Rattus norvegicus: one gene and its partners. The protein of the gene in region 3 purifies or fractionates together with the protein of the main gene of each other region. This does not show direct contact. Links are inferred from orthologs where the notes say so. Each region holds a gene or a part of one and is shown on either strand. Other genes may lie near its edges.

Region 1 (6,015 bases), on a different chromosome or scaffold from region 3:
TGACTCCACTATATATCTGAGATTGAGATCCCTAGAACTATAGTCCACTGCCTCCATACCTTGCCCTGTATGGCTAAAAGTTGGCCAAATGTATGGTTCAGTATTGTTCCTAGCCAAAGAGAATGTAATGTTGAGAAAGACCATACTGCCAATTCCAGACTCAGAGTGAGATAGATTAGTGATGTCTGCCCTGGTACACATAAATATGATTGGCTATGCTGTGTCTTAGAACTGAGAGTGCTGTACTCGATTAATGATGTCTGTATTGACATATGCAGAAGTGGCTGCCCTTTTTAGTGCTACGAGTGCTGTGATAGATTAGTGACATATCTCTTGGTGCCCTTAGAAGTACCAGTTGCTCTGTGTATTTGCTCATCTTCTGGAAGACAAGTGTGTCTGGCTAGACTAACTGGCCTTCTTTCTTGCTTCCGCGGTTCGGTTCTTACAGTTTTTTAAATTTGTTAAACACCAAATTTGGCCTGAGAAGCCTTCTGTACTTGCAGACTTGAATCCTGTGATGAACTGCAACCTAGTAGCATGTAAATAAACTAAAGCCCTAACTTAGGAGTATGCTCAGCCAATCACAGCAGCTGGGCTTCAGTTAATCATAGGCTGCCACCTGTTCAAAGCTATTCAAATAAAGCAGACACCCCAGCTGGAAACGACCGAGCTGTTTCTAGACTGCAGGTTTTTTTTTTTCTTCCCTGCACTATAAATATCACCCAACTATGTGGCAGCCCTGGGGTTTCTCTGAACTTGTTTGGCTTCTGGGGTGTCCCAATTTGTGAACTGTTCTTTGCAAAAATTAAACTCGATAAAATTTAATTGGTCTAAAGTTTTCTCTTAACGAGGCACAAAAAAATTATGTGGCATGGCTGTGCCTATGCAAAATCTAATTCCAACTTCACAGCTACTGCACAAGGGACCATGAGCATTCCTGTTTTCTGGACAAAGGAAGCAAGGTTCTTAGGTGTTAGATAACTTTTCCAAGGGGCTGTAGGGCTGAGCAGCAGTTCTAGGCTCAAATCAGATGTCTCTGAACATGTACAAAGACCTTCCAACCACTATGTTCTTTTGAGTCCTGGTCTATGCTTGGGTGAAAAGGCCCTGATTTTCTTTCTGGACTTGAGTACATGTTTTGGGCAGTTGTCTGCTTTCTTCTCCCCTAACCCACTCCAATATGTCTTTATATTTATTATGCACTCCTTCTCTGGATCAGTGACTGGTAACACCCATCAGATTAGAGTTCTCTCTACATTGGCCCCTGCAATATTCATGCCCCTCTCCCATCCCTCTAAATAGGCACCCTCCCAAAAGGTTTAGTCATACAGACCAGAATTGTCGATGGCGAAGTACTCATTTCCTTTCACCATTTGGTACAAGACAGTGGCGTGGCCAGCCACCGTAGGGTCATCTGCATCCGTTGCTGTCACACGGATGACAGAGGTCCCTGTGGAGAGAGAGAGTTCTGGTGTTTCTGCTCATGACTGTGGTCCTCACCCTGTTTCCTGGTGATAGTAAATGGGGTTCTGCTGTTCCTACTTGCCCAAGCTGAGGGAATGAGGGTTGCTTTGTGCCAGAGGGGCCATCACGAGGACAAAGTGCCAGCAAGGGTGAGCCCAGCCAGATCAGTCAGAAAACAGGCAAAGAGAACAGGTGATTTGTATGTTTGCAGGAGAAATGAAGGTGTTTGGGTTTGAGAGAGTAACTTAGGTGATGTCTGGGTGGATTTTCCTTTTCTGAAAGTATGAGAATGTGGGACTGGGAAGGGTATTGCAAAGCCCCGAGAGGGATGGAGATCCTATTTCTCATCCTTTGGAGTTCTAGACTTCCTCAAGGAGGTCTGGTCCCATGGTCTTGAGCGCAGATCCTGGACAGAAGACTAGAGAAACACACTCTCTGTCTGGACCTTCTGGAAGCAGGTTGAGGATAGGTTAGTACCTCCCAAGCCCATATCTAGGGTGATTACACGCTCTGGGGTCAGGATCAGGGCCCAGGCTATAAAGAGAGTCAGTGCTCAGCACATTATGAGGATTAAAACCCATCTATGGTTAGGGTCAGGTTTTAGTTTGGGACTAGATCAGAGGTTAGCCTTTAAGGACACATTTCAAAATCATGTAAAGGTGCAAGACAGCATCACAATTACTTCCTTGAGCTTACTGGAGCCCAGCCTTAAGCATTGAGGTGGTTGATGTGAGAGGTGTCTTCAGGCTGGTGTTGAGGAGGGGAGGAGAGAGAGGAAAGACTAGGCACATACCTATAGCTGACATCTCGGGCACAGATGCGTTGAATACCTGGTGCGTAAACACAGGCCAGTTGTCATTTACATCATGCACCTTGACAGTGAAGCTGGAAGGTTGTTCCAGGTTTTTGTTGGTCTTCTTGTCCACAATGAGGGCAGTAAGGAAGTACTCAGAGACTTTTTCCCGGTCTAACCTCTCATAGGCAAGCACATCCCCTGTGTCAGCATCGACCCTGAAGATCTTGCCAGCTTGTTCTCCTTGGAGCACATACTTAGCATTCTGACGGTTCACATTGGACTTGATCTGGGGAAGAACAGGCAACATGAGCTGGGAATGGGCAGTGGGTGCATACACGAGTGTGCATGCTTGTGTGTGTGCACACATGTGACGATGCATGCATGTATGCTGACCATATGTGTGTGTAGTGCTGAGTAGGGATGCTCACCCTGACACTGACGCTTTAAACAAGAACTTTCAACTGGTCACCAGTGAGCTTGTCTTCACCAGGTCACTGCAAGCACGGTAGTGATGCATCTTTTTTAGCTGTGTCCAATGCCTAGAATGGCACATGGAGCCTAGTCACGCATTTGCCACCAGAGAATAATAGTGTCTTTCTCCCTTGGAAGACATGGGTTTTTACTATCTCATCTTTAAAATGGACCCAATTGGATTCCTAAGGTTGATTTGCACTAATGGATACAGCTTCCCACTTGGAAATGAATGCCAGGAAAGCTTGGCTTCTCTTGTTCCGTGCAAAAATGGGACACGTGCCGGTGATGTGCTAGAACTGGCTTCTATCAATATGGCTTTGAAGACTTGGTTAGAGTTGGGGAATATTTGTGATCAGGCTGTCAAATGTGGCCATATTAAAAATTAAATTATCTGAACGTACAATGAAATAAATCATCATCATAGATGGTTTGTTGACCCAGGATTTGGGCATTTGGAACCAGTCTAGGAGACATGCCTCTGGAGATGGTGCCTGTTGCAATTTTCCTAGAGAGCGTTGACAGGAATGAGAAGGTTCACACTGAGTGTGGGCATCGTCGCCTTACGTACTGGGCAAGTGAAGCAGCTTCGTCCACCTCTCTCTGATTTCTCACTACAGATGCTTGCACTGTAATGTCTTCCCCACCAAGACGGATTGCACCTTTAAACTGTGAGCCCAGTTAGCTCTTCCTTCCTGAACTTTTGTTAAGTATTTTCTCACAGCAACAGAAATGTGACTAATATGGCTATTCGAGAAGCAAAGATTTACACATGCTCAGAATTCAGATGGGGTAGGGCCGTGCACGTCTTGTACTAACTCTGCCTTCAGGGATGTCACAGAGCAGTTCAAAGGCTGAGTGTTTACACTGTGGGAATTGGCACGCTCTACACATCTGCACTCTCCCTGCAAAACCAGATGTCAGACATTTATCAGCACAGTTAAGTATTGGTCCCAGTAAATTTGCTTTTGGAATGAGGCACAAGACACTCTCTTCTTGGTGATTTGCAGTGTCTAACCTGCAGAGCAGAACTCCTATGAATTTTGTTTAACTCAGGATGTCCTGCACCTCTTAGACCTCTGAGCTTTCTTTCTTTTATACATGCTATTAGTAGCTTAAGGAAAAGCACTGTGTGCCTGGCACCTTGCACTGAACATCATTGAGGTAAATGATAGTAAATGCTAATAATAGACCCACAAGTCAAACAATAATACGAAGTTTGAGAGCTGAATATCCTATATTTTACAACTGGAGGATATTTAGTCTAAATCTTTATGAGCTCAAAATAGTACTTTTTCTAGAAGGCTAGAATGACCCAAACAGAATTCCACTTGAATAAAACAGAAATTGGATGCCTACCAGGTAGCAGGCACGCTATAGAACCCATAGATATCCAAGGCCCCGTTCTGGCTCTCAGAACTGAGGCTGACCCTTTGGATCAGATGAGGCAATACCCTTGTGTGCAGGTGTGCAGTTAGAACTAGTTAATAAGGTGGGAGAAGAGAGAGGGTGGTCAGGAGGTCAATACAGAAGCCTCAGAGGAGAAGGAGGTAACAAAAGGGTATGGACCAATCCTGGAGTTCCAGAAGTGTCCCTAGAGTTTAACAGTTGTTAGTTCCCATGTGCCTGTTTCCCCTTCACCTCAGCAGCACACGTTACACTAGTGTGGTCCCTTGTTACAACGAAGGGACCAAACGGATGAAGTATTATTGCTTAACACAGGTAACTTCTACAGATTTTCATGTTTTTTAATCTTGTATTTATGTCCCACTCACCATCCAACCATGCCATTTAGTTATGGTTTTACTTTGGTGGTAACAGTTTCCGAGAGTTGATTTTTGATGAACTTGATGGTTTGGAGGAGTGGTGGTCAGGACTCCCACTGGATGCCTTTCCATGTAAACTTCTCTGTTTTTCTCACCACTGAACTGGAGTATAGTAGATTTGGCCCCGCCCCTTTCTAATATCATTGTGTTTGGGTGAAATATCTCAATGCCAACAGCTGCCCTACCCTGGCAGGCTACTCCCAGCTGGCTCCCATTGTCCATCCAGGTTTATAAACAAACGCTCCAGACTTTGACCCTGATAAACACGCACTTCCTTCAGATTGTGTCCTCAGAGCCAGGAGGGGACCCTTGGAGTCCTGTGTTTGTGTCTTGTGCATACTCTTCTTTTATCCAGGATGGGGATCACGTGTGGTTCCTCTACTTCTCTGACCCCATGTTAGGTACCAAATAGATTCTGTCATCACAAGACACAGAGCATCTGACGCCCTTCCAAAGCTTGTCCTGTTTGGCTCTGGCCTGCACTTTCTGATAGTTCTTCATGACTCATCTTTCAGATCTCCATCACGGCTAACCATTCTCCTCAGAGGATGACTCATGTCCAGTTATCCCATTGGGAAAGCAATAGTTGGACTAATGGCATTTCCCTCTATGACACAGAGCTCACTGTGTAAGTCTAGATGTGTGTCTTTCCTTCTGACTGGTCAGAAGGCAGGATTTACATCAAATCCATTTCCAAAAAAGCCATTCTTGGAAGTCAGAGCAGCCTGTGTGCCCAGTCAGCGGGCTGTGGGTGGGGCTGTTAGTAGACACTTCCCAGACCACTCCACCTGCTTCCTTTAGCAGGAATTGGGGAGGCCATTCTGGTGTTGTGTTCAGACTTGTGCCTTCCCATCAAAGGTCCTCTTCAGCCTGTTTCTGTATCTCCAAAACACTTCTGTCCACACAGCTTGTGGGGTTCATTGATATATGCTGTTCCTCTAGATGTCAGGCTCTCAAAACCTGACATCGACCTCATGTTGTGTCACATGCCTAAATGTAGGAGTTGTGAAAAATTTGGCAACAATGAATACTTTCTTCATGCATAATGACAAAATTCATAATCCAACGTGCGATGGTATCTGTAGCAGTGTTTGCCTGTTCCATATCATAAAACTTCACCACTGCCTTGGTTCTCCACCCATGGCACATGGCATATGCACTAGGAGGCATTGTGTGTGCACTGGGCATTGTGTGCACACTAGGCATTATGTGTGCTGTTGTGCCACAAAACACCAACGAGTGACACCTGAGACACTTGGCTCAGATTTAACATTACTATATGGACTACAGTGACTTTCCTAGGCATACAAAGTTACAGTTCTTATAGAAATAATGATATGGTAAAAAGACCTTTAATGATTATATATATCCTTATAGGAGATAACCTTTAAATATATATTTATATTTAATATGTTTATATCCTTATATATTTATATATCCTTATAAGATATACACACA
Region 2 (6,015 bases), on a different chromosome or scaffold from region 3:
CTATATCTTATTTTCATCTTCCTAGAGATATGCCCTGCCATGTTTTAGGTTGTATACACTTCTAATCTGTCCTGAACTGCTTGTTACATAGAGCGTGGTACTATTCCTTCAACAGTTCCATTTCTTTATGTCTCTTTTGACTGAACTGTAAAGACACTCATAAAGTAGCATAAAGACCCAAGAACAATTTCAAACACTCTTAACCAGATCCCATCTGACTAAGTGACTATATTTACAGTGAATCATGAATCAGCATCTTTAAAATGTTCTCTAATAGATATAGATAACCTGATCTCGTGTTCCCACATCTTCCTCAGGATTTCTGACCGGAACAGTTGTAATAAACCTACATTCCATCTTACCCTTTCCCCTAGGTATTTAATCATATTTATTTGCATGTCTTGAGGGATAGGTGATATGAACATGAAGCAGGTGAAGGAAAGTCAACAAAGCAGGTATTTTGAACCATAATTGAGAAAAATAAACATTGTCAAAGAAGGTAGCAAAGATTATTCTAAACTTCAAGTAGCTAATATATGGCATGCAAAAATCAGATCTTAAAGAATGAGTTCAGCAATGAATGAATGAATCAATAAGTGAATGAATGAATGAATGATAAGTGTAAGCCATACCATACCAGATAGACACATGTCAGATAGAACACACCAGAATTTCTTTTTCATGTGTGTGTACACCAATGTCATGAAGCTGTGATTGCTTTATAAGCAAGTAAGGAAGGACCCCTTAAGATAAAATGCTTTTAAGGTAACATGTTCCGAATGAAAAAAAGATTCCATGAATTGGGAAAGACATTTTATTTCCAAGCTTCTAAGAGGATTCTACAAACATTAAGATCCTTAAAGTAAAAAAGGAAAGAAAGAAAGAAAAGGAAAGAAAAAAGAAAAAGGAAAGAAAAAGGAAAAGGGAAGAGAATAAGAAAAACAAGACCTCTTAACTATTGAAAAGTAGACAGTACTGGGGAAAAAAGTTCCTTGGCATAAAAATGTGAAAATGGAGTTGTCAACTCTATTCTGACTACATTCCTACATAAGTAAAAGAATCATTGTGATGGTGAGGGGACTTACAGCTGAGTAAACAAGGTTCGTTTTCCTTTTGAGTTAGTCAGTTATTTCAATTCAATTGGAGATCAGCATAAACTTAGCAAAATATTCTTTGGATTACAAAGTCTATCTATAAAATAAACTTAACCTGCAATTTTGCAAGTACCTAGAATGCACATTCCTTCCTGTGATAAAAGACTCTCAAGTGGCATGTCCACTGATTTTCTCCCATTGAATTAGTCAACTGATTCAATGTCGATGCATTGTAAACTGGGAGTGAGCACATCATAAAAAAATAGTGTATAAGGTCTCAAAAAATAACTACAATAAAGTAAAAAAGAACCAAAAATATCCATAATCCAAGGGAAAAAACAGCATGTGTCTTGTGTTTCAAGAAAAGGAGAGGAAGTAGTTGCAGTGTGACTCTGTGCGGTGTCTTCCCAAGTATTGCTTTGTCTGGACCTTTGGTCCGTTGTACAAGTGAAAGGTCCTTCCCAGAAGTTCCACTTTCCAGGAAACTAGAGGCAACTGCATATGACTGTGGCATATCACAGATCAAATGACATCAATCATCACTGTTCAACATAGTCCCTGATCTCATTGAGAGTACATGACCCAAAGCATCTTCTAAAATAAAGGTTGGAAAGTGAATTGTCCTTTCTCTCATCAAGACTTGAAATTTTATATTATTTGAAGACAAAATAAAATTACAGGAGGAAAAAAATGAGCACTTTCAACTGTCAGTCAGTCTTTATCCTAATAAAAATTACATATGGAAAACCAGAGTTGGTTTTGACTATGAACCCCTTCAACGCCACAATGCTCAAGGCGGGCCATCAAGTCTATATCTAGAACATCGAGAGGTCTGACAGTCCTCATGAATTTGTCTCTCATAACTGTGAGTTCACAAGTTAAATGCATAATATATAACATATTGTAAATCCATAGGCTAATCATAGGCTAGTCTAGATCTCTAATGTCCTTCTTTAAAGATATACTCCAGGAAAAGCCAGAACATACAAAAATAATTTACATGAAGATACAGAATCTTATCTTTAAAAAAACCCAAACATATTTGATTTAAATAAACAATAAGAGCAGCAGACTACAACAGATCATAAATAGGGTTATTAAAAGATAACAATTAAATTAGAAATATAAATGGATCATTAGAAATCCTTATTTTTTTCAATGTTAAGAATCAAACCCAGAATTAAAAAAGAATCTTTTTTTATTTCAAAGATTGCTTCTTATATAGAAGCTCATATTAAAGCAACAGTACAATGTTCATAAAATATAAGTGTGATGCTGTAACATTTTCGTACATGTCAGAATACTGATATTTGTATGTATACTAAAATAAGAACTTTAAAATTGTACAAATAGATACATTAAAAATGACATAGAAATAGGGTGCTCCTCACTGAAACAAGACAGTTATATCTGGCACGTATTAGTTTAGGATGAAAGTAGAAGCAAAAAGATTTACAAGAATCAGCAGTAACAAGATTGATGCTCAAGAGACATAATTGTACATTGTATTGTACATACATTGTATGGGTTTAAGCTGGCTGGATATTATATATTTCAAGTTTAAAAATGCACTACAGATAGAGTGTCCATAGTTTAAGGCGAAATTACAGCTCAGAACTGTTGTCCTTTCTAATTTTGTGGAAGCTTCTTTGACAAATTAAAAAATAAAATAAGAGAGACTCAGATGTTCATAACACATAGACGATTTCCCTTCATTGTAAGTTCACTGTGGACTTTTCCTCCATTTAAATATTTCGTGTGCCAAGTGGTTTTTTCTCTAGTGAAGTTGATAAACAACTTCAATATTTGCTTTTTTTAGTGGGAAAAGGTACTTCACAGTATTTTCCACTTTGATGTCCTTGCGGTTTTATTAAATGTTTCCTCTCTGTAAAACTCTGCTTGTTTTAAATGAGCCTTTCCTTGATTTAAAAAAATACCTGTTTACACATCTTCTAGATTCTTGAGAATGCCAGACACAGTTCTTAAGGCCAAATTTGTATCATTATTGTTAAGAGTCATCATCAAAAGTGTCTTTGGAGCCATACAAGTCTGCTAATTTCTTAAAACGAGGTCCCCAGTTCTGTAGATAGTCGTAGTCCAGGTCCGAATCTGTGGTGGCAGACTCCAAGGAGCTCAGGGACCCAGCCACGGAACCCCTGCCCTCATAACCATAGATTTGGATGGAGTCATAGGGAGGGGCCGTGGGATCATTATCGGCCTCCTGTATTCTTGTGTTGATGAAGTCGTCCACATCCACACTGTTGGGTGCTGGTCGCAGCCCAGGTCTAGGCATGTACTGATACTCAGGTTTGATATCTTTGCGAGGGATAAATCCATTGATACCGTCAGGATTCTGCAGGGTGGCAATGTCGAAGGCTTCGGTGTCTTCCTCACCACCCCCTTCATCATCATAGGTTATGATGTTCTCCCGGACATCCTCTTCTTCAAATACAATGAGTGGTTCTTTCTTTTGCCTCCTCAGGGTCACAAACAACACAACGATGACTGTAGGATAAGAAAAAGAATGTCAGCAACCCAAAGTTAAGCCTAACCTGCCTGCTTAGTCATCCCAGAGGCGCTCTGCTTAAGAACCTGGAGTGATGAGAGAAAGGATCTTTCCCCAGAACTCCCAAAGAGCTACACGCTGACCTGCCTCTGTCTGTACAATCTGCCCTGAGAGCATCATACCCTGTGAACTGACAGATTGGAATTATCTTCAGTGTTTTGCAAATGAATCGCAATGCTATTTGGCAGTCCTCTGAAGAATCAGGGAGGATTACTGTTTCCTGAAAGAGGAACATGAATGCCTATTTCTTCTTGCAAACAAGTATAACTGACTCCCCCACATTTAAGATTAAAATGTTCGCTCAGGACTATGAAAATAGGCGACTCCTGTCCAAAGGCCCTACTCTGTAATACAGAAGTAAATCTTACCATAAGAGTGAGGGGGCAACTATAAAAACCCTCGGACGAAAAATATACTGCCTAATGAACATAAAAATGGAATGCTATTTAAAAACACAGGTGTGGCCATCCTATCTTTCCTGGGAGAAGTATTCCACTAGGCTTGCGCACTTGGCAGAGCCAGCAATCATTTATATGGAATGCTAGATACTTCTTAATTTCTATCGATTCAGTGCCCTCCCCACTCTCATCAGGAGGCTCCAAAAATCATTTGTTTGAAGACTCTCCCACACAAGACAGAAAACAAGGCTTGCAGCTGCTTTTGGCAAATAAAGTGAGAGCTTTGGGTTCACATCTTTCTAAGGATCAGGGATTAGAAACTAGACTTAACTCAGATTACACAAGTTCCAGGAGCCCTGTGACTTCTCTGCTGCATATTCATCCTCCCCAGGTTCCTTTTTCACTTTTGTTGTTGTTGTTATTTAACTGACTAATGGATTTGTTTTGCTGTTGTTATTTGCTTGTTTATGCTTGCTTTTGGTTTTTTGTTCATCTCAGGAACATTTCTTGGTATCCCATGTCAGAAACAAGACAGGGCTATCGGCTCCTGCTCCATGATCTAACATTTATTATCATACTTTGGTTTATACATCTAGCATTAATTTTTGAGAGAGCTTTATACCTAGTTTGGAGCACCCACACAGTACAGCATCTTTCATTAGCTATAAAATTCTACTTCCAGAATTTGTGCATGTTCTCTAGGAATATGTCTGACACCTTTGTCCAATGCCAGACATTCTCTAACCTACATCCATACTACCTTATGTCCCAACCACAGAATCAACAATGTACCTTCATTTGATTGTGAATTCCTTCCTTGAGAATCTGAATTCATCCAATATAGAAACTTTGAAGACATCTGTCTATATCTCTCAGACTTTTCCATAGGATATGACTCCCAGATAGCACCTAATAACTGCTAAACCAACCTCTCTGCCTCCTTCCTATGGAGGTGGTCCTATTAATTCATCCTATAGAAAATAAGTAAATTTGTTGTAAGATGCCTTGCATTTGAAGTCCTACAGTGGTACTTGGTTCTGTTACAACATGAGCAGAAGTAAGGCCTACCTCATCACCAACTGATGGAGAAGCTCATGGGTATGGCCATAAGTCAAAGCAAGCAGATGGATAGATGCTGCAGGTAATTAGAAGATCCCTGCTCTGCTTCTTCTGGCAGAGGTCCTCCTCTTTCTTCATCTATCCATTGCAACAATAATTATTCTTTTGGTTCCATTGCTCCTAATCCATTTTCATTTCTATTCTTAAACAGAAAAACCTCCCTCATATATCAGGTTTCTGCATAAATTCTTCAGCTATACAACTGTTTCCAGTGTCCCTCCAGCTCACTGATGGCATTTGCTTTACTGTCCTATCATACCACGTAAAGTCCACATTAGGATTTTCCTCAAATTCTTCCAGCATAATTGGCCAGCTCAGCCTCCTTACCCACTGTGCAATAGACTTCACGAGAGCTATTGCATCTTGCGGTTTGTTTTAAACTGTGTGAATGTACACAGTACAGTCCTTGCAGTCACTCTGTACTGGGTAAGTCTCTTGAAGCATGTGCATCGGTTGGACCATGGGGCAGAGAGATCCTTACCCAGAAGAATGACGATGCAGGCAAGGATGGCGATCAATGCCCCAGTGCTCAGACCGGCATTCAGGATGTAGGCTTCAGCGTTACAGGACAACAGTGCCCCATTCACATCACACCCACAGACTTTTATAGTGAGGGTATTGGTGCTACTCATAGGTGGGATGCCACCATCGCTAATCACAATGGGCAGGAGGTAGAGGTCCTGCTTCTGCCGACTGAACCCTCCACGTCGGGCATATACTCCTGCAGTGTTATCTGTTTGAAGGAGAGAGACAGGGTAAGTTTTCATCATAGGACCATATCTATGGCAGTTGCCTGCAGCTCGCCAGCTTGAAGACATGTTTCAGATTACCGAGGTCA
Region 3 (6,561 bases):
AGGAACGGAAGGGGGAAATGACATAAATATTTCCAAAAAAAAGAGAGAATTTTTAAAAAGTCACATTCAAATGTGACAGTGCTCCCTTAAAGCAAGAAATGTGTACTCATGTTTCCGTGCGTTCTGAAGGCTAAATGATCACCACCTGTCTCTATGCTATTTGATTGTAGTTTGGTTTTGAAAAGCAGAATCCCAAACCAAACTCTTAAACTCTCAAGAATCCTTCATATACTGACCATTTCCCTTCCAAAACTAACTCAGAATACACTTCACTCTCTTAACCTGGCTAACTTGAAACGGTATCGTATGCTCAGGGGCGGAAAGGAAGGTCTGTAAGAACAAAAGCACTCTCAGTGTGCCACAGACAACCTTCCCACCACCAATACTGCTCCTGGTTCACCAGAGGGAACTGCACTTGCATTTTAAAGTGACAGATCTTCACTGGGAACTTGTGAGAATTTCACCTCTACCTCCTCAATATAGCCAAGCCTCCTGTACTCCCCGAGGCGCCTGAGCATTTGGGCTCCTACTGTAAGCAGATGTGCCCTGACAGACTGCTCTCTTGCAGAGAGGCAGCTACCGTCCCAGGCCAGTCTAGTGACTGGCACAACTGGTTCACCTTACAGTCTTCAGGATCCATTCCACACAAACTTGCTGAGAACAAGGAAAAGTGACCTGTGTTCTGTCCACCGGGGGGCGCTGGACATGACTACAGCACTGCCGTCTCAATTGAAACTGGGAAATGAGTCTTAATTAAAAGAGACAACTAAGTTCCAAAACAGTGGCTAAGTCCTAGCAGGACTGCCTACTTCCTTTAAAAAGTCTTTCTCCTCATGGAAGGTTAGATGCTTTTTTCCAGAGTTCCACCCCCGCAGATAAATCTGGGTTCCCAGCCAAGGGAAGCCCGGTCTTGCAATGAATACATACATAGGCAGCTTTCTTAGGTAACAAGAAATGAAGACCTTTTTCCGGAGCGTAAAGAAGTTCTGATCCACTTCCAATTGACATAAATCACTTTCCATTTTGTAAAACCTGTTAGCTGATCTAGGAATCACACCGTGAATGGTGTTACTGAACAGAAGCATCTCATGGCTGACCATGTCTCAGGACAGAGGCTGCCTCCACAGGCCTCAGAACTGAGGCAGCTGCTCAGCTATTTTCTCTCTATGCATAAAGATGTCTTCAGTGAGATTGTTTTAAATAGCAAACAAGTTGACAGGAGCCACAAAACAAACAAAAAGTGGAGTTAAAACGTATGTACGTTTGTAACGAGTTTGTGAATACTTGTTTACCAGGAGTTTATCCCGCAGGTATGTTTCTGACCAAGCCAGTGACCAAGGACACTAAAAATTTACCACTAGGTGATGGGCAGAGACCTTGACCTCACCTCAGCACTAGCATTTCATCTGACTCCATCTACTTTCACTGTCCACTTCCTGCTTAAAAGTATGGCAGCAGACTATGGTAGGCCCACCACTGCACCCCCACCTGCAGTGTGCACAGGCCTCTTGGCCATGCTCTGCTCTGCATTTATTTGCAAAAGGGCTCCACCAGTTTTTCTGAGCACACATTTCAAAATACTAAGAAAGTTGTCTTCTCATCCCCACCCCACCCCGCCAATGGCATTCTGAAACTAGTGCTAAAGCTTCATTCCCAATCTAGTCCCATCGTCACTACAGCAGGAGACACTTCCCCTCGAGTTGTAGACATCTGATACCCAATATTCAGTCTCTAAACTAATGTTCTCAATCTGGGGGTCCAACAACCCTTTCACAGGGGTCACCTAAGACCACAGAAAACATAGACATTTGCATTATGGTTCTTAACAGTAGCAAGTTATGGAGCAGCAAGCACGTAATTTTGGGGTTGGGGTTACTGTAACAATTGAGAAGCTGTTAATGGGTCGCAGCATCAGGAAGGCTGAGAACCGCTGCTCTAGACTATCTACTAGAAATGACCAGATGACAGGTGAACTCTATTTCTTGGACTTGAGGTTGGTCTTCTTGCAGACCGTGAGGCCCAGGACTCTGTCCCAGGCAAGCTAAGCTTCCCAGATAGCCTGCTTCCTCAAGGACTTCAGCCTGGGAGGGTTAGTTGTAGAGAAAGATCTACAAGTTTCCAACTTCCCTGCCACCGCTAAAGGCCTTGTCCAGACTCGGCCTTCAGGACAAAGGTTAGGTCACAGAATGACTATCCCCAGCACTGTCATCAATGTTTTCTGCTGAGAAAGGACGTCCTCAAACAAACCTTGAGGTACTTCTTTTTAATTGGGGGATTTCTGAATGTTTAAGGTGAAAATGAACTAAATGTAACAGAAGACCTTAACTCAAGTAAAGTTTGAGCCCGACATACAAAATCGAAATGCAAAGGCTACAAGTTTAAGCAGCATTAAATCAGAACCAAGAGGGCAAGCTCTTTCCCGGGACGAGGAGTCTGCACCGAGACGTCTGCAAGCCTCAAGTAAATAGAGAAATGGCTTCCTAAATCCCAGACAAAATGCTTCACAACTTGGCCATGTGAAAAACATGAGGCAGACTTTATCAAAGGCAACGCTGCCGTCTCTTCAGCTTGCTGTCTGGTCTAAGCCACCATTATTCATGGCACAAAGCTCTCGTTTCACTAAAACCACTCCTCGATTTCCTCTCGCCGACCTCCGCATACCAGCAGCCCAGTCGCTCTCCATTCAGAGCTCAGGCCCGGGGGCGGGGGGGGTGCGGGGGGCGCGGGGGAGGGGAGCCCACAGATGTCTGGAGACCCGAGCCCGAGACAAAGCTGCCCCGCAGCCAGCGGGCTCACGGGAGCGGGCCTGGGGCACCGAACTTGGAGCGTCGGTTCCAAGTCCGGTCCCCCAAACAACACTCAGAACAAGTCTCCAGGCTCCCACGCCCTGGCGGTCAGCGCTCTGGCCACTCCATCTCGCCCAGAAAGCAAACGCGCCGGGGAGAAACACTTGAGGCGGACCCCACACTTACTGGCTAAGGGCAAGTCCCCCTCCCCCAAACTCAGGCTTCGGGTCCCGCGCACACCCTCCCCCCAGGAGTGGCCGGTGACTCGTCCACGGTCCCGAATTCCCGCCAGCACCTCTCGGCCCCACAGCCACCGACCCCACGCGAGTCCAGGACGCCACCACCCTCCGAGAACACGCTCCCGACGCATCCCGCACGCCGCATCCAAGTTTGGCGACTCCACGGTTTAAAGTTGTTTGGATTCAAACTCACAGTCAGATCGTTGCAGGGGGGGAAAAAAAGACCTATCTGTGCGTGCTCCACGAGGGACAGAGGGGACGCGTGCCAGGTCCCGCGTCCCCCGGCTCTGCGGGCCACGGAGGAGGGGCCCCCGCCCACCCCGCCCCCGCCGCGGCCCCAGCCGGGACACGAACCGCGGTCCCCACCCCCCACGGCGGCCACCCGTCCATCCGGGCTCCCGGCGCGCGCCCGCCCGGCCCCGGCCCCAGCCCGCGCGTCCCCGCGGCCTCCCGCCGCCACCCGGCCCGCGAAGTTTCCCGCTGGCGCGGCGCGAGTCGGCCCGCCGCCGCGCCGTACCTTGGGGCCGCGCGCTACTCCCTCGCGGCCGCCCGCTCGGCCTCGGCCTCCTGCACTGACGGCTCGGCTCCCACCGTGCTCCGTCTCCGCCTCCCCGGGCCGCGGGCTGCACAGAACACTAGCTGACGCGGCCGCCACCGAGCGAGGGCTTAAGATGGCGCCGCACAAGGAGCGATTTATAAGCGGCGCGGCACCGTGTATCCTGCCGCCGCCGCTCCGCGCGGAGCGTTCCGCCGCGCGAGGACGAGGGGCGGGGCGCGGGCGGGCCGCGGAAAGTAGTCCCCGCCGGCCCGAGTCGCTCTGCGCGTGCGCCGCCGGGAGGGGCCGGGCCGGGGCGTGGCGTCCCGACCCCGCTCCAGTGGAAACTAATGGGATCGAGTGCGGTCCGTCGCTGCGGGCCGGGTGGAGCGCGGCCACTGTTGGCGCAGGTTCGAGACTGTAGTCACCGGGGCTTCGGCCGCCACACCCCTAAACCACCACTGGACCCCACTACACTTCACTGTTCGCGGGAGTGTCCCGCTCCTCTTCCTGCCGTGCCTCTAGAATCCGGACAGGGATCTCGGAGCCCAGCCACCTTTCCTCCCCACCCCAGGAGGCCATGGAGTCCCCAGGAGTGACTGCTGACATCTAACTAGAATAAATGATTCAGCTCCACGGCCCTGTTCATCAGTGTGATTCCTAGAAATCCCATCTTACCCGGACCCACTGGGTCAGTGTCTACAGAACCAGAAGTGGGGACGTTTTCCAGGGACTGCAATTTTTACTGTATTGTTTGAGAAACTCGAGTGTGTTGCTGAGAGGACCTGTGGATAACCTCTTAAAATTTTCAAAACTAATTTAGTATCCTTCGAGAGCATTATTTTTTTTCTGAATCATTACAATAGGCTGAAGTTGGGTCTTCTCTTGGAAATGGCCTCATTGTTGTCCTCCACGATTTGGCACTTGTCAAAACTGGTGCAGTTGGGGTGAATTGGCTGTCTCCAGTCTATTATTGTGAGCTCGTGTCTCTTCCCAAACAATGGTAACAGCGAAAGTTGCCCTATTGCCTTCTTTCATCCTGCGCTGTAATTAACGCAAGTAAACAATAGGCCCTTATGTACAGGTACTGGCAGGAAGCCTGCGCAACCACTGAGGCAGGGCCAGGGCTGTACGGCCAGCTTCTTTTTTAAATGACTCAATTTCCTATCTTAAAGACATATCGCCGTAACTCTGTGAACCACCACAGTCCACCATGAAGGAGCTGCTCAGTGAGGGCCTTTGTCTAGACCTTTCCCCTCTGCAGCTCTGCTGGGATTTCCACAGAATCAACTCTGCTGCTGGCTGGGGCTCACTTGGCTGACTCGGGGAGATGGGTCAGGAAAAGGTATTTTACCAGTGGTGGTTGCAGCCACCAATCCCTAATTTTAATTGTCACATGCAGAGTTAAAGAATATTTGCTCGACTCGATTAAGGTCCTGCTTTTAAAATTAGATAGCTGACTTCACCTCTGTCAGGGGTGTCCTTTCTTTCCTTCCTTCTTTCCTTCTTTCTTTCTTTCTCTTTCTTTTCTTATCTTTTTTTTTTTGACACTTGCTTCTTTTTTCTGTGTCCCAATTCAGCTTTAAAAAAAACCGGGGGGGGGGGGGGGGGAACGCTATTAAAACCCGTTAAGAAATGTCTGCGCCAATGAAAGATCTAAATGATAAAGACACCTCTATATTTATATTTCTCTAGCCAGATGCCAACATAAAGCATATAATTCCAGCATTCTAATCCCAGCTTAGAATTAAAAGTCTCCGTCCCTATTGATAATTCACAGAGACTATGTTTCAGAGAAAAGGCGGATTTTGCCACAATGCAGCACCGCTCTTCCTGTCAAGGGTAACTCTGCTGGAGACATAACCAGGTGACTGGCCTTGAAACCAGTGAGCTGAATTTTACATTTCCTCCAGACCTCTGTTCGCTTCTCTCACGAAACAAAACTGCTCCAGAATTTTTTTGTCACCAAAACCAGATGACAATTTCTATGAAATTAAGACAAATGCTGTCATTACACTAGAAAGAAGCACGTCATCAAGATACCTGACGGATAAAGAAACCTGCTGGTTCCAAGAGCTAATTTGAAAATAACATAAGTAGCTAAGGAGGGGGCGGTTTTATGAAATTAGTTGCTAAAACAATTGACCCTAGGTAACACACTTCACTTAAATGGCACTTGGCCTCTCTCTTACACCCTTTCTTCCAAGATCAGCCCAATGGGTTTGACATAAAATAATTCATTTTGAGAAAGGGGGGGGGGTGTTTTTCCTATAGTCAGAACACCCGAAGATCAGGCTTTGGCTACACTGAACACGAGCCTAGAGTATACTCACTAACACACACACACACACACACACACACACACACACACACACACACACCACACACACGTTCAGCTTGTGTCTGCACTTTGTGCAGTGGTATTAATAAGCCAGCACTGGTCCTTCTACTCTAACAAATCCATTAGTCAAACATTTACTGCATACCTAAAACAATGAACCTCCTTTTGAGGACAGCCGGTGACTGCTTCTTCTGATTATCACCTTCGTTTAAAGTAAAACTGTAATTGTCAAGTCTGTTTGACAATAGGCACAAAAGACGGGAAAGCAAACTGAAATTAGGGTGTGGTCCACTTTGGATTCCATCCCAATCCCCCTGGGAAGGACAAATCCTTTCCCAGCAGAACCATGCACTCAGAAACAGCCAATACTGACTCTCTAAGACCTGTTAAAAAACAATTTCTTTATGATAACGTGGAAACACCAGGGCAAAAAAGACATCACAATCGGCTCTTGGCTCTATGTTCCTCAAGTGGGCTGTTTATGGATCCAGACTTTTGATTTGTAAAACACCGAGTCAGGGGTATGTCATCTTTTTGTTGATTTCCAGTTGAACAGGCTAAGCAGTTGTAAATACCTCTTGTCAGACTACATGTGGTTTATTCTCCCACACAGAAGCCGTCTAGTAACCCACTGGGCAGGTTCCGCAGAGAGCCACTGTG
Region 4 (4,517 bases), on a different chromosome or scaffold from region 3:
CAGCTAAAACCCAACTGCATGGCAGTGAGAAGTAGTAGAGTGGCCCAGAATAAAGGCTCTTCTCTTAAGGATGTTCCTGTAAAGGAGAAGAAAGACAGTTATGCAGCTTTACATAAGACAGTGGTGGACTCCTGGTTTGTATGTACAGTTCTAACAAATTATCAGTCAAAAACTCACCTTTTAGCCAATAACTTCTGTAGCATGTTTTTTAAACAAATTTTATGACAGCAGTTAAGCCTCATAGCAGATTCCTTCCTAAAAAAGCAAACAACATTTAGAACTAGCCTTTTGTGGGGCCAATTCCCATCATTAAACTAGTCCCACCCCCTCCCATTAACAATCCACCCACCCTCCCACCATTTTGGGGAAATGTATCTAATATTACTTTGAGCCATTGCTTTAAGAAAATGGGTCAAAGGAAGGTTAAATAAAATTAAAGGGCCAAAACATATTGTCACAATAGAAATGTATTCATTCCCTTCAAGTAGGACTAATAGGGCATTAATTAAATAAAAACAATTCATCTCCAGAAAAACCAAGTGCAGCTTAACTGGACTAGTTTTGGCTCAATATAATTAAGAGAAATCCAACAGAAAATTGGACTATAATTTATAACTATACGGATGTAAGTAAAATCTGTTCTTACCTAGCAGCATAGCAATAAACCTTTCCTTCTGGCTCTGCCTGCTAGTCCTAAGAGTCAGGTGTGCCTTACTCTCGTCTGCCTCCTTCCTTGCGATGGTCACTCAAACTTCACTCCCTCCTAGCTTTCATGGAGGTGCCGTGGCCTGCCCCTGGCTTATCTGTACTCCACATACCACAAGTGTCTACTCTCAGCTGTAGAGATTCTGAGCTGGAAGCCATTCGCGCTATACTTGCTAGCAGTTCCTAGTAGCTGAACATCTCCTGGATCTTTAAAGGCATTGTCCCGATTCCTGAGGTATCTGCAAACTCCCTCAATAGTTAAGGTTCCACCTGCTATTGCAAACTCAGCCAGTATCATGGAACTACCATCCATGCTTCCCCCACCCCCACCTCCCACCTCCCCACTTCCCCCCTCCCCAAAACTTCCAAGCAATATATATATACCCATGAGTAGGAATACACAAGTCATCTATGCTACCCCGTACAATGGCACTTAAAAGGGGCACCAAATGGGAAACTTGTAAGAACCTATGCACAAGTAACAATTATCGGATAGTAACTGTTTTGAACTCATTTTCTATACAATTAACACTTGAGGACAGTAGTGTGAAGGAAAACTGCCGTTAATACAAAATTATACATTGTTAATTATATTTGTAACTTAAAATTTCAACGAACTAGAATCACCTTGAGGCACACCCACCCACAACCCAGTTAAAACTGCAGTTTTCCTTCACTACAGCCTGTGATTAGGGCAATTAAGGGTTCTTATAAAGATGCCCCAACACTGCTAATCTCTGGGCTTATAGGTGGCATTAACCAGCAGTTGGCTTCTATGCTGGCAGAGCTTTGAACTTACACTGTGGTAACAAACAATCAACATTTACCAGGGGTATTGGGTAGGGAAAGTCCAAATCTCTGCCAGTCCCAAATCCATACAGTTGTCATTCCATTCAAGAGAATTAAATCGTTTATTGAGTACACATGATAATGGATGATACACAAGCTTCATTCCCATCTGTTATTTTATCTGAGACCGTTATTCAATTTTGATATTGCATAGGGTGTGCCAACAACCATTTTATAACCAAATTGTGATCTTGCTTGGATGACCCTTTAAATGGTGAAACTCATTAAGTTACAACAGTAACTGGCAGTTTAGCAACACCAAGGTTTTTGAAGACAATGGCTTCTCCACCCAAGCAACCATAAATAAATTCCAAATGGAATTTGGCACCACCCTGAAGGAATTCTAACTTCACACTGTTGGGGAAGTTTACCAAGATGGCTTCAGAGTAGACTAACTTTACACAGCACATTAAAAAAAAAAAAAAAAGACACATTTATTCAGCGTCATGATCAGACTTTTACATTTAGCAATCAACAGCATGGGTGAAAAAGGTCTACAGTAAAACCCTTCGTTGGAATGCTTTACACTTTCCACAGAACAGAAACTAAAATAACCTGTTATACAATTAGTCACAGATACAGTCCTGGAGTTTTTGCCCACACACATGAGTATTGTCTAAAACATGTCTTCTTTGTAGCAGCTAGGCCCTGCCACCACTGTGCTTGGCTGAGTTCACAAATCTGTTGTAACCTGTAGCTTCCCTGTCACTTCTCTGGCTCTCCTCTCCTGCTAAGCTTTGTTTCCTGTTGAACAATATGGAATAAAGTTGTTAATCTAAAACACATTAAGACTCAAGGCTACAATCCAATAGAGCAAGTTGTTTCCCACAAATTTTGCTGAACTGCATATTAACTTAATATCCACCATTTTACTGCAGTTATAATGTTAACTATGTTGCACTGCTCAGCTACATTTGGGTTACTGGGTTCAATTATAAAATTTTGTGAACACACACAAAGGAGGCACTTACCTGGCTGTAATTAGAACCTCCTGCCACTGCCATAGCTACTGCTGCTGCTGGAACCTCCATAGCCACCTGAAGTATTAAGACAATGCTTTGTTTCAATACTTTGTGCTAACAATTTTGTGGTAATTATCAACGATTTGTTTAAAAACGTCCCTAGCTTAAATTAAGATGACTTAACAAGGATCACATGACCCTCCTGGTTGATGCCCTTTGAAGGGAGATTTAACTATCAGTTTTTTATTACATCATAATACTATACCTTGGTTTCGTGGTTTAGCAAAGTACTGGCCTCCACCACCATAAGGGCCAGAGCTCCTGCCTCCAAAGTTTCCTCCTTTCATCGGTCCAAAATTTGATGACTGGTTGTTGTAATTGCCAAAATCATTGTAGCTTCCACCACCTCCAAAATTGCTTCCTAAAATGGAAAAGTCTTTGATGACTGACAAGCCAATGTGTTTAGGATCCTGAATCAAAGATTATATATACCTTCTGTCAACTTCAAGCCCTTACATTTCATTCTGAGTGAGGCATTCAGTTAATAATCCAACATTTAAAGAAAATCAACCTAACTAATGACAGTTTCTCTCAGTGGCAAGTTAGAATCGAAGGTCTTTGTGTACATATTCTAGGTCAAGACAGACATTTCTTGGATATATCAACTAAATGCCTGAAGTCCCAGCAGAAGGTAGACAATCCAGCTATGTCTCTAACTACCTCATGTGGAAGGAAGACACTAACCACTCATCCACCTACTCATTTTGGGGGAGGCGGCCCCAGCTTAAAGCCAGGAGGAGGTAGCATAGCAAGCCTATTTGCACGCACCATGCAATGTACCTACAATGCTCTAAGAGCCAGCCGTGAAGTCTGAGACGGGCATAAACCCTGGAAGTCTCATCTAGCTCCGCACCAAGTACCTGCGTCACTGGATACCTACCACTACCACCGCCAAAGCCGCCTCCGCCTCCTCCGTTGTTATAGCTGTCATAGCTGCCACTCCCGCCATAGCCACTGCCCTGGTTTCCATAACCCTGTCCACCACTTCCATAGCCTCTGCTTCCTCCAGAGTAACCAGGGCCGCCTCCTCCATAACCACCTACAAGAATACAAGTCTTCTCAATAAGACAAAAGTATTTAACAAGAAAAATCTACGCAAGTTAAATAGCTAAAGGCTGCTCAGGGCATGCATTTTACGGGGCTGACTGAACTTTGTCATGCACTAGGTTTAGTCTCTAGTAGCCTATTCTAAAGGTAGAGGTCGCCAGAAACCACTCCTTACAGACTCCTTAAGAAACTTACCATCATTGCCAAATCCATTATAGCCATCCCCACTGCCACCATATCCACCACCACCACGGCTGCCACCAAAGCCACCTGGAAGAAACCAAAGCTTTAAACCAGGCTTTGTACGTGAATGAATACTTATCAAATATCAAAACCTGTAAGTGCTGGGGACACAGGGTAGCAATTACTAGTTATAAGTTCTAAAACCAACAAGGAGCCAAACAAAGCCATACACACCACGACCACTGAAGTTCCCTCCTCGACCAAAATTGTCATTGCCACCGAAACCACCTCCACGACCACCACCAAAGTTTCCGGAACCACTTCGACCTTAAAAGAAATTTTGGATCATTAGGTTAACCTGTAATAACTAACAGTGTCCTCCTCACCCCAAGTCTAACCAAGCAATAAACACACCTCTCTGGCTGGATGAAGCACTAGCCATCTCTTGTTTCGACAGAGCCTTTCTTACTTCACAGTTGTGGCCATTCACAGTATGGTATTTCTGAACTAAGAGGAAAAATTAAATTCAGGACTTTTAAAAAAACATGTGAACTCCAGAATCATAAAGGAAAATGTAATCCTCTGATACTTACTAACAATCTTATCCACAGAGTCATGGTCATCAAAGGTGACAAACGCAAATCCCCTCTTTTTTCCACTGCCTCTGTCAGTCATAATTTCAATCACTTCAATTTTCCCATACTGCTCAAA
Region 5 (6,015 bases), about 62 Mb from region 3:
CAAGGTTAAACTTTGAAGGTGAAATGGAGTATGGTCCAGGGTGGCAGAGCAGGCACCTCAGTAGCATTCGGTGTAGTGCAGGATAGGGAAACATGGTTGGGGATAGACTAAAGCAGACCTTCAAGGGACATCCACAAGGGCATGAGCTAGCCTTTGTTCCCAAAAGAGAGGCTGGGGCAGGAATGAGCCAAGCAGCCCCTGGAAGCCTGACCTTACTTCAGGTCCTTGTCCCACTGGGTATGTCAGGAACACAGAGCTGCTCCCTTACTATGATGTAGTGGTGCCTGACTCTTGGCTCGCTCCCATAGATCTAGATGCCTCCCCCGTGCCCCAACACAGTGTGTCATATTGTTACAGTGCTAAGACTTGGTGTTCGTTTTCTTAAAACGTGGTAACTCTCATCTTATTTGTCTATAAAATAAGACCTTAAGTCACATGCACTACTCTTCTTTTTAATTCCAGCAAAGATCTCATGAAGTAAAAATATAACATACATTACCTCACTTTACAGAGGAGCTGCCTGAGGACCAGGGAGTTAGGAGTACCAGATCAGGGCCACAATCTACCAAAAACTGAATCCCAACTCCCAGACCAAATAAGGTGTTGGTTGCTGTGTCTGTGGGTAAATCTTGACAAAAATGTAAAATGTGGCACACGCAGCTAAACTTCGATATATTTTGGTCGAAAGGTCAAGCTGAGAGACTAAAGCTCTGGAAGTGGAACTTGGGCATCTGGGACAGGAAGTGAGTACATTGGTGCTGAACAAGCCTGGCAGCTTACCCAGCCCAGGAACTGATCCCCTAGTATGCTGTGCACTGAAGCTTTGAAAGTTGTGAGCTAAGCTCCATCCAGGATATCAAAGACAACAGAGGGACCACACATTGCCAATTTCCTACGCTGCTCCTCACTTTCAATTTATCGGATTTTATTGCCAGCTCTAGAAACTTGAAAACGGGGGAGGCCAGCAGCGAAGTGCCTGCAGGTCCTGGTCTCTGGTTCGTGCCTCCTTTGGGAGGCAATCCTTGAAGTTGATGCCTCTCCCTTTTGGAAGCCACCCTGAGGGAAGTCCACCTAGGCTTCCCTACTTGAAATAGAGGATTCATGTCCTTAGCTCTGAACAAGGAGATGCTCAGCTCTGCCAGACTCTGAAAGACTTTTCCCAAAGCTGAGTTGGGCAATTACCTGCTCACCCATGCCTGGGAGAGCATTTTGTCCTCAGGAAAAAAGGCACTTCAAAGGCTCCTCTAGGGAAGGAGGGATGAGAAGAGCTAGGGTTTCAGGATTCACATGTTTACTAAAGGCTGTGACAGCAGTGACAGGGCGGGGCTTCCTTCTGTCACTAAGCTATCAGCAGCTGAAGACAAGCAACCTAGTGAGGCAGGGACTCAGTGGGCCCTGTTTAGTTCAGGGATAGGACAAGGGCAAGGTATAAGACACGGCCCCGCACTGCCTTGCCAGTACAGCCAGGCGAGGGTCTCAAACTCCTTTCCCCTCCCACCCTTATCCCCACACAGAACCAGAGCTCTAATGCATAGTTTCCAGAGTTCAGCCTTACTGTGGTAGGAATGAGCGTCTGCAGAATGCCTTAGAGCAGCAGTTCTCAACCTGCTGTTGACCCATCTGGGGGTCAAACAACCCTTTCATAGGGGTCGCATATCAGATGCTTTCATTACAGTTCATGGACAGTAGCAAAATTACAGTTATGAAGCAGCAACAAAATCATTTTATGGTTGGGGGCCACCGCAACCTGAGTATTAAAGGGTCAAAGCATTGGGAAGGTTGAGGAAACATCGCCTTAGAACACCCACAGGATGAGTCAGAGGTGTGGGCACGCAGACATCACCCATATGAAAGTGGAGGCCTCAAGATGCAAACACGGGCACTCTGGGCTACGTGGAAAACACCATAGGAGCAACCAAGAGTGGGTCAGGGTGAGGAGGACAGCAGCAGCAGTAGCAGCAGCAGCACAACAACCGCAGGGAACAACTGACCCCCACGATGGCCATGCGGCCAGGGACCAATGGCTCAAAATGAGAGCTGGGCTCCAAGTTACCTGTTGTCCCAGTGAACCTGCTGTCTGACCCTGAAAGTCCAGGATGGCAGGGCTGGCTGTGTGGGGGCTGAGATAACACCGCAGGTCAGCCAGCTCACCTCAGAGAACACTGGGGTTCTGGCCCTTTCCTAGTCATCCTCAATGTGCAAGGCCAGGGCCTTTCTCTGCTGCCCTTAGGGGGATGGTCTGAGGCAGCAGTCATGCTCAGAATTGAGCATGCAGAACCACCCAGAGAACGTGTTAGCACTACAGGCCCTGCTCCAGAGATTCCGGAGACCTTCGGTAAAGCCCACGGGTTCGCCATCCCAAGCTTGAGGTGCCCGTGCTCCACAGATGCCCCTTGGAAGGGCTGAGTGCAGGGAGGAGTCTGGTGGCTTGATGAACCGAGGACTAAAAACGGGCATGGGTGGATCGACAGTTCCTGACTTTCTGCTGCTGCAAGGCCCCTTTAGAACAAAAGTACTTTAAGAAAAATAGAACTGAACGCAGTTGGCCTCTGGTCAGTTGGGGCTGAGAGAACCCAAATTCTCGAGGGCGATTTGGTTCGAAAGGCACTTTGAGTGCTCATGGGGCTGCTGGTATAGCGGTTGGTACCACCTTAAAGTATTGTCTGTGGGCTATCAGCAGGTCACTTGGGACACGGATTGAGCATCCAGGGAGAGCTGCAAGGCCACCCATGGTAGTGGTAGGTGGTGACTGGGGGCCTTGGGAGCCCAGAAATCATGCCTTCTTTATGCAACCCTTCCTGGTTCTGGCTTCTGAAAGGGAGATCTAGGCCCGGGGTACCTTTCATGTCCGCTGCAGGGACTTTAGAGAAAATTGAGTTTGGTCCCAGAGAAAGGACACCTGTTCTGAACTAAATGACGGGGACCTGGGAATGTAGTGAAGGGTGGGGCCTGGCTCAGAGACAGCCCTCCTTCTGTGCTGAGCGGCTAGGCCAGGCATCCCTTATTTTCAGCTCTGCCAGAGAGAGAAAGAGCAGTGCCTTCTGCCCCAGCAGGGATGTGCCCTTCCAACTGTCCATCCATGTAGGCACTCAGAGCCTGCAGGAATTGGGCAATCTGGGTGGAAGCTGATGATGGGGTGGTCTGCAGGCTCAGATAGTGGACATACTTCTTCAAGCCCTCTTGCCGGTTGCTGCGGTATGCGGTCAGCAATTCTAGGAAGCTCACATTGTGGAGGGCCAGCAGGCGGGCCTCAGGCTGGGGCAGGACCTGTGCCTGAATTAGGGGCTGCAGGGAAGCAAAGCACTGTAAGCTACTGAAGGAGTAGATATGCTGGGCCAGCTGCAGACCTGGGGAGACCTCAAGGAGGCAGCACAGATCTCTCATGGCCAGCACAGCAGCCAAGGCACTCCGTTCGCTCATGTTTCTCGCCAGGTAGGTCTTCGCTAGGTTCCTAAGTTTGAAGCTGCTGGCGCTGGGTATGCGTTCCTGGATGAGGGGCAACACAGCCAAGAACCCCGAGATGGCGTCCTGGAATTCCCACAGTTTGTTAATGTCGTTCAGGGCCTGGAAGAAGATGGGGAGTCCGGGCCCCCACAGCCTAGGACATGCCAAGAGGGGACGGTGCATGGAGTTGAGGAAGCTGAGGAAGTGCTGCAGCCCGGACTCCAGGGAGACGGCCTTAGAGTAGACGCTGAAGGCCTCGGGCTGGATGAGCACACGGAACTTGCTTTCCCGGTTCACCGCAGCCAGTTGGCTAATTTTCTGGGCTAGGCAGGAAAGAAGGGTAGGGTGAGGTTTCAGGGTTCAGGAGGGTTCACTGAGGTGGGTGCAAGGGATCGGGGCTGCTGACTCGTTGTCTAGAAATCCCACCTGGAAGCCTGCTGGCAGGAACCAAGTATCTTCCATATGTAGCCCTTGCCTGGCTCTGATGGGGGTTGGGGGGCTCACCTGTCCCACAGCTGGCTTTTCCTATTTCTCCTGCCCTGGAGTTTGCCCAACCTTTAGAGTTCTGCCCATTTTCTATTTCCTCAACCTCCACCTCTCACAGAGACCCCACAGTGTTTCTTATCGGCCTTCTATTCTGTTCCCACCTCCAACCCCATCTGTCCCTGCTGGATTGGAGCCCTGGGCTGCACCCCTTAAAAGCATGGCCCAGAGTCTCCTCCTGAAACCCAAAGATGGTTTTTCTGTGCTAAATATCTAATGATTCTGGCTGGCTGGGCTACTCCCAATACCGGGCCCATAACTGCTGACCAGAGTAAAGGGCCAAAGCTGAGAGGCCAGACAGAGAGGAAGACTAGGGACTTCCAGAAGGAGTCACAACTCTCTGTGACCTGGGTTATTCAGGCCTCCTTATGTATCTGCTGGTGGGCTGGGCCCTGTTCTGGGAAATGTGTGTTTATAGCCAAAAGTCAAGAGTGGATTACTTGTCAACAATGGCCTATCCACTGTTCCTGGTCTCTCCACAAAGGTTTTTTCAGAGGTGAATCTGTGGAGTTATATTTCTCCCTCCCATGTCCAGGTTCCATTGCAGATATGGCAACACTTGGCATCCCAGTTCTGTCCACCTGGCTGTCATTGCTGACTAGGGGATGGCTGGAGCCTTAGACGTGGTTCTACCTGTCTTTTCCCTGGGGACTCAGAGACTAAGCTAAGAAGAGGCAGGTTAGGTCTCAGGGAACCCACTTTCATTATCAATCTTGAGGTCGAAGAAAACCAGGGTCCTGTCTTCTAAGTGGGGTTCAGCAAGGCTCTCATCCAAGGCCTTGAGGGAATTGGGGCCCTCCAGCTGGATGCTACTGGACTCACTGCTGCTGTCGTCCAGCTCGTGGGAGGGCTGCAACACAAAGAAGCCAACAGGTTAGGAGTTCAGAGGCCTTGAAGGTCCAAGGCTAGGTGAGTCTGCGCTCTGGAGCAAGTGTGCACACAGGTAGCTGTGGGGATGTTACCTGCTAGCACAGTCGGAGCCTCTCTGTGCACAGGAGAGGGCAGACTAGTGGGAATGCACAACTGTGTATGCAGGTGTGAACTGAATGTGTCCCATGTAAGTAAGGGTCACACACATGAGCCAGGGCACACAGCTTAGGAAGGGAGGTATGAAAGGGTAAGACCATGCTGGGGAACATGAATGTATACAGGTGTGTACGTGAGAGGTATGAATCTATAAACTGTTGACACAAGTTCGTGAAAGTGTGAGATGGGGTGGGACGGGACATGTTGTGCCTGCTTGCAGAGGCTCAGGGAAGGGGCCAATGACTCTGGTGGGCAAGGCCTGAGATATCTGCTACTAATTTCATCTCTCTGAGAAGACTCAGAAGAAACTAACAGCACAAATGGAGACAAGAGAAAGGGGCCTCATCAGCAACCCCAGGTGATTCTTTGGAAAGGGGAGGAGCCTATCTTTCCTTGTCCTCAAAGACAGCCTGACCCATGACATCTTACATTACAGGGAAGGCAAGGGTTGCTTGGCCTCTTGAAGTCCACATCTAGGTGGGCACACATCCCCTGCCTGGGAGACGACCCTGGAGGGAGTAGCTCAGAGACTCAGATCCTTGAGTTATTCCTATCTCAGCTGTACAAGGAGGACTGGAGCTCTGGGACCCACCCCAGGCTTCCAATCAGGCCCTGCTCTCCAGCATCCAGGATGTCCTGGCTGGAACAGCATTTCAAAACCCTCAAGGATGGGAAGGGTGCTCTCTAACTGAGATTTTCCCAAGGAGCAGGGTTGGGGTGGGGATTGGCTACAGACAGGGTAGACCTCTGAGGATAACTAACAGAGTTACTTATCAGCATAGCGGATGAGTGTCCTACGAACTCCACTTCTGGATATTAGCCATGGCCCACGAGGAAGAGAAGGCCAGTGTCACTGGCCCAGCTGGGGAAAAGCCCAGATCAGGCCCCAGGTCTATCTTCTATAGATTGCTCTGGTTGTCAATGGGGCTATGACCCAGGGCTGTGGCTTCTGCAGAACGCCTCTGGCTGCAGAGAAAGTTAACATCCCTGCTGCCCTAACTG

Evidence for each region. Proteins that work in one complex are often made in the same cells at the same time.
Region 1: the proteins of Ctnnb1 (region 3) and Cdh5 purify together in Homo sapiens (affinity purification with western blotting; 11 studies listed by BioGRID and IntAct, counting the BioPlex papers as one, with this or other methods). This does not show direct contact. The link is inferred for Rattus norvegicus from reciprocal best matches to the Homo sapiens genes CTNNB1 and CDH5.
Region 2: the proteins of Ctnnb1 (region 3) and Cdh11 purify together in Homo sapiens (affinity purification with western blotting; 3 studies listed by BioGRID and IntAct, with this or other methods). This does not show direct contact. The link is inferred for Rattus norvegicus from reciprocal best matches to the Homo sapiens genes CTNNB1 and CDH11.
Region 4: the proteins of Ctnnb1 (region 3) and Hnrnpa1 purify together in Homo sapiens (affinity purification with mass spectrometry; 3 studies listed by BioGRID, with this or other methods). This does not show direct contact. The link is inferred for Rattus norvegicus from reciprocal best matches to the Homo sapiens genes CTNNB1 and HNRNPA1.
Region 5: the proteins of Ctnnb1 (region 3) and Pml purify together in Homo sapiens (affinity purification with western blotting; 3 studies listed by BioGRID). This does not show direct contact. The link is inferred for Rattus norvegicus from reciprocal best matches to the Homo sapiens genes CTNNB1 and PML.

What each region holds. Positions count from the first base shown.
Region 1 is NC_086037.1:835,726-841,740, forward strand, and holds part of Cdh5 (cadherin-5), read right to left. Parts: intron 2,547-6,015; coding exon 2,258-2,546; intron 1,451-2,257; coding exon 1,334-1,450; intron 1-1,333. UniProt on the Homo sapiens protein: Cadherins are calcium-dependent cell adhesion proteins. They preferentially interact with themselves in a homophilic manner in connecting cells; cadherins may thus contribute to the sorting of heterogeneous cell types.
Region 2 is NC_086037.1:2,306,922-2,312,936, reverse strand, and holds the end of Cdh11 (cadherin-11), read right to left. Parts: intron 5,911-6,015; coding exon 5,659-5,910; intron 3,600-5,658; coding exon 3,103-3,599; 3' UTR 797-3,102; downstream 1-796. UniProt on the Homo sapiens protein: Cadherins are calcium-dependent cell adhesion proteins. They preferentially interact with themselves in a homophilic manner in connecting cells; cadherins may thus contribute to the sorting of heterogeneous cell types.
Region 3 is NC_086026.1:129,514,699-129,521,259, reverse strand, and holds the start of Ctnnb1 (catenin beta-1), read right to left. Parts: upstream 3,685-6,561; 5' UTR 3,543-3,684; intron 3,348-3,542; exon of another isoform or gene 3,219-3,347; intron 1-3,218. UniProt on the Homo sapiens protein: Key downstream component of the canonical Wnt signaling pathway.
Region 4 is NC_086025.1:136,255,500-136,260,016, reverse strand, and holds the end of Hnrnpa1 (heterogeneous nuclear ribonucleoprotein A1), read right to left. Parts: coding exon 4,400-4,517; intron 4,314-4,399; coding exon 4,221-4,313; intron 4,134-4,220; coding exon 4,041-4,133; intron 3,894-4,040; coding exon 3,819-3,893; intron 3,616-3,818; coding exon 3,457-3,615; intron 2,938-3,456; coding exon 2,782-2,937; intron 2,592-2,781; coding exon 2,536-2,591; 3' UTR 2,526-2,535; intron 2,299-2,525; 3' UTR 1,598-2,298; downstream 1-1,597. UniProt on the Homo sapiens protein: Involved in the packaging of pre-mRNA into hnRNP particles, transport of poly(A) mRNA from the nucleus to the cytoplasm and modulation of splice site selection.
Region 5 is NC_086026.1:67,522,792-67,528,806, forward strand, and holds the end of Pml (PML nuclear body scaffold), read right to left. Parts: intron 4,838-6,015; coding exon 4,687-4,837; intron 3,768-4,686; coding exon 2,986-3,767; 3' UTR 373-2,985; downstream 1-372.